Linked DNA regions of Cricetulus griseus. The protein of the gene in region 1 interacts with the protein of each later gene in a pairwise test. Links are inferred from orthologs where the notes say so. Each region holds a gene or a part of one and is shown on either strand. Other genes may lie near its edges.

Region 1 (3,744 bases):
AGAGCCAGGGCAGACACATTGAAAGCCAGAGGAGGAGGGCTGGAGATGGAGTTAAGGAAGCAGCCATGGTTCTGGGGGAGCCAGCTTGGGCCAGGAAGGGGTCTGTCCTATGTGTTTAGGGGCCACAGCAGGGGAAACTGGTTTGAAGCAAGAGGATGAATAGACCTCCTGAGGAGCCAGGTGCATATCAAAGTATGCTTATATGCAAGTGGGCTGGGGGGGTCTCACAAAAGGATATTTACTTCTTCAAGAGGCGGCTGGAGGCTCATCCCATTAGCCAAGGTGGCTACAAAATTCTAGGAGAGAGTAACAGGGAAAAAGGGTTAGCTACTGGGGTGGCTGGGGAAGGCCTTTGGGGCAGTGAGTGTTTTGCAGGTTGGCTTTTCCTGGGCATGGGAGTGGTGTAAGCAGGAGCAAGCAGTGTGGCTGCAGTTGTGTAAGGAAGGGATACAAGTGGGGAGGGAAAGGAAGGTGGGGTCTCCTGTCCCAGCTGTTGGCTGAAGAGATGGTGGCCCGCCCCATGTTGTCCCTCTCTGGTCAGATAACTGGCCACACATACCTACCCTATCTAGGCCAGAGGGCCCAATACCTGCCAAGGCACATGGGCACTTTCAGCTGTTGCTCCCCTTCACTACCTAATCCCCCCTAGATTAGGTGACATTTCCTGACAGACACACCAGGCTGAAGTGCCATGAATAAACCGGAGGGGGCTGACAGGTAATGGGTGCTGGGCACCTGTCTGCCCCATCACAATCCTGTCTCCTGGCCAAAGATCATTCCAATAGAGAAATGTGGCATACCCCCACACCACAGTGAGTACACCACCCCAGCTCCACCCGGGCAAGGAACACACAGAGCAAGGCTCTTTGTTTTACCTGCCCCCGGAAGAGGGCTGCCCCCCAGGAGTACAAAATATGCCTTGGAAAGCTGGGGCAAGCTGTTACGATAAATATTTCTGCCAAAATCCGCCTGAGCCCCACCGCCACGTGTGAGCTTACGAAAGCCCCCCCTTTCACACCCCACCTTGGTCCCCACACTGAAAACTGCCCTCTTTTTCCTTTGTCCACAAGTGCCAGGCCCAGGGTCACTTCAGTGACACTGTAGGCGAACTGATCCCCATGGCAGGTGTCCCAGCAACTGACCTTCCTCTCCAGAGAACTTGAAGAGGTATGGGTACCACCAGATTATATCCCATCATTATCCCATTAGATAGATGACTGCTATCTAAGGCCAGAGAGGCCACGATCTACCACCTCAGGGGTCGGGTAGCCAGTGGGGGGAGTTCCCATGTGGGCCTCTCTTTTTCAGTAGTACAGATACCAGCAGGTTAACAACTGACTGAAGAGGGTTTGTTCTGTTTCTGGCTTTTTTTTTTTTTTTTTTTTTTGAGACAGGGTTTCTCTGTGTAGCTTTGAAGCCTGTCCTGGAACTTGTTCTAATGGGCCTTGAACACACAAAGATCCGCCTGTCTCTGCCTCCCGAGTCCTGGGATTAAAGGCATGCACCACCACACGGCTTCCTGAAGAGGGTTTGAAACCTGAGACTAGGAGAGGATCTGATTTACAGGCCTAGTAGTGAAGTCTTTCACGAGAGCTACCCGGAAGGCTTAAGCAAAGATGGCAAGTTCAAGGCCAGCCTGGGCTACAGGGTGAGTTCAAGGCCAGACCCACTTTGCATCAAAGTTAGTAAAAAGTGGACTGAGGAATACAGCTCAGGGGTGGAAACACTCAACTGTAAGCAAATAAGCCAGGTGCTAGAATTTGATTCTGTTTTGGGGGGGAAATTAGGCAAAGGTGAGAATCCTAAAAAAGGGGTCGGGTGGGGGTCAAGGCCCCTTGGTCTGCGTGCCTACATAGCCATCCAGCCCCAAGACCGACCTCTGACCATCCACCCGAGGGCGCTTCCATGAGGGGGTGGGCTTTGGGCCACGCCCCATGAAAAAGAGCCCCTTTCACAAGCCCATAATGACCACGAGGGGGTGCCCGGCGCCGGATCCGGATCTCCTCGGTGGAGATGCCCCACCATCCTCTAACAGAGAGGTCACAGGGCTCTGCCCATCCCCCCCCAACCGCACAGGGGTAACTCAGAGTGGAGGAAAGTGAGGTCAGGCCCCACGAGGGTGCACGGATGTCCACCACCCAGCGGACAGCAGGACGCAGGTGGCACCCCCCAGGACCCCCGGAGTGCAGCCCAGGTCACCGGGCCGGGGGCGGGGCCTTTGTCCCGCACGTGGAACCCGCGGGGCCCCTCGAGTGGCACACCCCCCTCCCCACGCTACGCTGCGCGACCACGTGCGGCCCGGCTGGACGCGCCCCCGGCCCGCGACCACGTGCGACGGCCCTCGACTCGACTGCGGGGTCCGAGAGTCCCATAAGCTGGGGTCGCCCCGGTCACGATTGAACACATCCCCCGATGCGGACCTCCGCGAGGCCCAGCACACCCAAGGCCCCGTCTCCACAGTTCAGGCCGTGGGTAACCCGTCGTCCTCCCCCTACCCACTGGCCTAAAGAGCCCAGCTACTCACCTCCATGATGCAGTTCGCGGCCTCGGCTGCCGCCATCTTCACCCGAGTCCTCCGGCCTCCGAGACCCCCCCCTTTCTTCTCTCTCCCCCCGGCCGGGGACCGCCTTTTACCAGAGGGTCCACCGCCCGGCCCCCGAGACCCCGCCATAAGTTTCCAATGGCTGGCGCAGCCGTCAATCTAACCGCCTCGCACTGCAATTGGGCGCTGAGCACGTCTATCAAAATTCGGGCGCCCTCCCCTCCTAGCGTTCAAAGGACCACCCCCTCCTGTCGGCTAGGAAGGGAACAACTGTCTGTCTATCTTAGGCAGCGCATGTGATGATTGGAGGATATCCCACCAGGTCTTCCCGCCTCCTTCCGGCCAGCTCCGCCTTGAAGCTTCCCGGCGGGCTCCGCGCTAAGCGGATGTCGAGAGACTCTGCTGTGGATCATTAAGATGGCCCGCCTCTCCGTCGCCGCAATTAGCTGAGCAAAACGTGACGTTGCAGGGCTCTTGTTCCAGTCCCTTCGAGAGACTGGCCAAGAACGACAGGGACCATTGGCCCACAAGGAGGTAGGCGGGGCTTTGGGCGGAAGCGATTGGCTCCCAGGAACATCAGTCATCAACGTTCGGTGGCTTCTCCGGAACTGGGGCGCGTGGGCGAGCTAGGGGAAAATGCCGAGTCGCTGTGAGTAGATGTGGAGGCGTTCTCATCAGGGGTCCTGAAACTTGTCAGGAGTCGTAGTGAATGTCAGTGCGATGAGCCATAACCTTGTACTGGACTGTGCCGAGTTCTGAAGACCTGTGGCCTCCTAGTCCTTTGCATGAAACACCCATCTCCCTTTGTTTGGCCAACTCCCACGCGGCAATTTGGACTCCATCTCCTCCAGGAAGTTTCCCTGGATCTGCAGAAAGTTACTCCTGGCCTGAAGATGGATGCCAATTGCTGGGTTTGTGCCCCTGCCTCTTACCTTTTGTCCCACCAGTACTCGGCCCAAGCACAGGGTCCTTTAAGTTCCCAAATGTGCCTCTCCACTCCAGGCCTCCTCGTGCTCAGATGACCTTCTTCCTTCCGACTCCTAACACTGTTTAGTGTGCGTGTGCGTGCGTGTGTCAAGTCTTGAGCGGCAAGCACTGCACCATCTGCTGCACACGTAAGGTATCTGGTGTGAGGCAGAGTCTCATGGTACAGCCTGCCTTTGTCTCCAAAGTGCTGGGATTTAAGGCTTGTGTAAACTTCT
Region 2 (3,744 bases), on another chromosome or scaffold:
GGTATGTGCTCAAAGGTGACATGCTTCCGCTCAGTCCCTTCCTCCCATCTAATGTGAATGTCGGAGGCCTTAAACCCAGGTCCGCAGCTCTCAAGGCCTTTCTTCACTCCAGTCCCCACTGTTCACCAAGACAGCCAGGAGACTGTACCCCTATGTCTAGGTATGTCCAGTCCAGGCTTATCTCTGCCCAGTATACCACCCTGATTCAAAAGCAGCAAGGAAACAGCCCTGCTGCGGGTTAGAGGTAACCTGTCTTCACAGGTGACAAGCCAGGCCAACTGATTAGTAGCGAATTCTAAGACACTGAACAATCTCTCTTTCTCTCTCTTTCCCTCCCACAGAATGTCTTGAGTAGTAGAAAGGCCCCCAAGATCACCAGGATGGAACAGGATTGCAGTCCTGGTACATCATAACCAGCCCTTACGCCGTGTAGACCTCCTTCCTCTCTTGCCCACACTGTTCTTACCTGTCCAAGGAAGCATTCGGAGCATCAGTTCTCTGTGGACCTGTCCAACATCTAACAAGCATTATGACCACCACTCTCTTCCTCTGCCTTCCCTTTTCCTGATCTCATCTCTCTCTCTCCTCCCAGGTGCATTCTTATTAATTTATCTACCTTAATCTTTGAGTTACAGTCCGTTTTCAGCTTCTTTTACTCCCGACTATAGGTAAATAAAAACTGCAAGAATCTACTCCTTCAGCTCAGAATTCTTCCAGAGCATGCTCCAGCCCCTAGACCCAGGTTAAGGAAGTCTATACTGGCAGCTTGTAGGCCAATTGGAAGCCACCCTTGGCCTTCTGTAGGCCAGGTCTGGCCACTGTGACCACAAGAAGACTCTAGGAAATGGGCAGTGTGAAGCTAGGGAGAGAGGACACACACACACACACACACACAGAGAGAGAGAGAGAGAGAGGGGGGGAGAGAGAGAGAGAGAGAGAGAGAGAGAGAGAGAGAGAGAGAGAGACTCTTCCAACACCTGACTGTACTTTGGATTCCAGCCTTCTTTCCCCTCCACCTGCTGGGGTCTTTCCTCTCTGGACTTCCTCTCCAGGTCCCAAAGACCTGATCCTGACCACACCATCCTTGTCCCAGTGTTGATCTTCAATAGAGAAGGTCCTCTACCATCGAGTGGAATGAGATGTCTCTCAGCAAATGACCAAAGCAGTGACACTTGCCCTCTGCCCCCAGCCCTTTGCATCTCTACCAAATGAAACCTACTCCTCAGAATTCCATTTTTCAAAGCTTTGTAGGTCCAAGACTGTCTTTGGTTTAGAGAACTGTTTGGCTCAGAAACTGAAACCCCCAAATTGACCCAAGGACTATCAACCTGGCCTGACACCCCCCACCAGCTACAACAGGACCATACTACAGGACTGAGTGAGGCTTCTGCTCCTCTCCTCTCCAGGCCTCAGTACCTCATCCTAGAACTCTGCCCTCACAATAGCAAGGACATCGGTCCAAAGCATGTCACCTGGACACTCACCTGGGAACCTTAGTAGTTATATGTTCCACAGGCTTTCAATACCATCTCCGTCTACCCTCATTCTGCATATTTGTATTAACACCCCAGAGTCCGGAGCCTCCCACAACTCACAAATGCCTGAGACACACACATCACAGGCAGACATGCAATGCACACGGATTCCCAAGCAGCCACTTCTCATGTCTAGCCTCAGTTCCATCTGCTGAGGCGCTGGACCCTATTCATACACATCTGACCCCTTCCACCTTGCCTGATCCTGACCACACCATCCTTGTCCCAGAGTTGATCTTCAATAGAGAAGGTCTGGCCATCCTCCTCCCATGGCCCCTTCAGAAGCACACACACACACACATCTGTGAGGGGCTGGTCACCAGGTCTCAAGTCTGTCATTGGAGCAGAAGAGGGCAATTCTCCCACAGGAGGTTTCTCTCTACTAGGTTAGAAGAGCTTTCATACTATCATCCAAGAGGTCTGTGTGGGTCTCAGGCTAGGCCCATTAGCTGCTGACCCTTGACCTCTGACCTCCATGTGGGAATCCTCTCTACCTTGACATACTTTCCCTGCCTTTCCCTGTTGACCTGCCCTTCATTGGGCACAGCTGAGAAAACTGGACACCTGGGAAGGTGGTGAGGGACTGCAACCTGCATTGCATGGCCTGGGCCGCTGTCTCTACCCCTGTGCCCCCAGCCCTGCCAGGCAGGCCCCACCTCTGCATTACCTCTGACCTCCAGCACAGTGAGCACAGCCTCGCAGGAGGCCTGGCCACGCTCATTCTGGGCGCTGCAGCTGTACACGCCGGCGTCCTGTGCCCCGCAGCTCCGCAGCCACAGGCAGCTGGGCTCTGGGGCCGGTGTGGGCAGGAGCTGCCCATCCCGGAACCAGCTGAGGCTAGGCTGAGGTGTCCCACTCACTACCACCCGCAGCCGCACATCACTGCCCGCACACACCGCCGCGTTCTTCAGGGGCCGCAGGAAGACCGGCGCCCCGGCCCCTGCCCCGGTGGGGAGGACCCCTCTGCCGGCCCCCACCTTGGCTCTCTTCGGGGGCACCCCGGGGCTGGGAGGTGCCCTCGTGCCGGCGTCCTCGCCTCGCGTGCCCCGGCCCTTCTGCATGGCCTCTGTGAGCTGGACTAGACGGGCAGGGGACGCTAGAACTGGGTGGCCAGGGGGACGCCCCGGGGGGTATGGTGCCTTAAGAGATGGGTCCTATGGGGCCGGCGGTCGGCCTTCCTGCTGCCCGCCCGCCTGCAGCCTGTGCTACCCAGAAGGTCACCAGGGCCGCCCGCGGTTGCGCCTCGGGGACTATTTTTAGGCCCCCCAGCTCGGGTTGCGAATGAGCAGTGAAGGGAGGGGGTAGCAGAGGAGGGGACTTGGACTCCATGTGGCTCCTTCTCTCTCTCCCAGTGCCCCCATCGCCAGAGCTGGCCTAAAAGAATCTCCTCCCCCCACGGTATGTCTGTCCCCCTCACCCCCGCCCCCAGGCAGCGGTAGCTGGGGAGTCGAGTTACCCCTGGGCTCAGGCCCACTTCCTTTCTTCAGCCCAGCTCCCCAGCCTCACTAGGCTGCAGGAGAGGAAGAAGAAAGGTCCAGAGGAGATGTCTGAGAGGTGCATGGAGAAACAGGCCCCAGCGGAGGTGAGCAGAGGGACCAAAAAAAGGCTCTCCCAGCATCTCCATTACAGCTGGTAAGCAACAAGACCCACACCCTGGAGTTCTGGTGGAGTTTTGGCTCCTAGCTGGTCCTGCACTCACTACTGCCAACACCCCACCTTCACCGGCCAGGTCACCGCCAATCCTCTAGCAATCTGCCCTTACCTGTAGTTGGCTAGGAATGTAACCAGCAGCAAAAGCAGCCAGGGCAATGGAGACAGAAGGACACCACGAGGAGAATATGGTGAAAGAGGGGTTTGGAGGGCTTGAAATGTGGGGCTCCATTCCGAAGGCAGGAAGCACTATGACTGATTGCAAGCTTTTGTCCATAGTTGTGGAGGTTTTACACACACACACACACACACACACACACACACACACACACACACACGAGTAGAGACAGGTGCCCAGGCCACTAGACACAGGTTGCTGTCCCTCACTACCTTTCCAGGTGCTCAGTTTTCTCAGCTGTGCCCACTCTGAAGGGCAGGTCACCAGGGAAGGGCAGGGAAACTGTCAAGGTAGAGAGGCTTCCCACATGGAGGTCAGAGGTCAAGGGTCAGCAGTTAGTGAGTCTAGCCTGAGACCTACACAGACCTCTTGCTCAATAGT

What was found. The genes of interacting proteins can lie anywhere in the genome.
Region 2: the proteins of Prmt1 (region 1) and Speg interact in binary tests that used the Homo sapiens proteins (3 or more experiments, as listed by UniProt). The two-hybrid records come from large-scale screens. The link is inferred for Cricetulus griseus from reciprocal best matches to the Homo sapiens genes PRMT1 and SPEG.

What each region holds. Positions count from the first base shown.
Region 1 is NC_048599.1:153,870,607-153,874,350, forward strand, and holds the start of Prmt1 (protein arginine N-methyltransferase 1), read right to left. Parts: upstream 2,632-3,744; 5' UTR 2,561-2,631; coding exon 2,525-2,560; intron 297-2,524; coding exon 243-296; intron 38-242; exon of another isoform or gene 1-37. UniProt on the Homo sapiens protein: Arginine methyltransferase that methylates (mono and asymmetric dimethylation) the guanidino nitrogens of arginyl residues present in proteins such as ESR1, histone H2, H3 and H4, FMR1, ILF3, HNRNPA1, HNRNPD, NFATC2IP, SUPT5H, TAF15, EWS, HABP4, SERBP1, RBM15, FOXO1, CHTOP, MAP3K5/ASK1, MICU1 and NPRL2.
Region 2 is NC_048595.1:428,521,041-428,524,784, reverse strand, and holds the start of Speg (striated muscle preferentially expressed protein kinase), read right to left. Parts: upstream 2,597-3,744; coding exon 2,203-2,596; intron 1-2,202.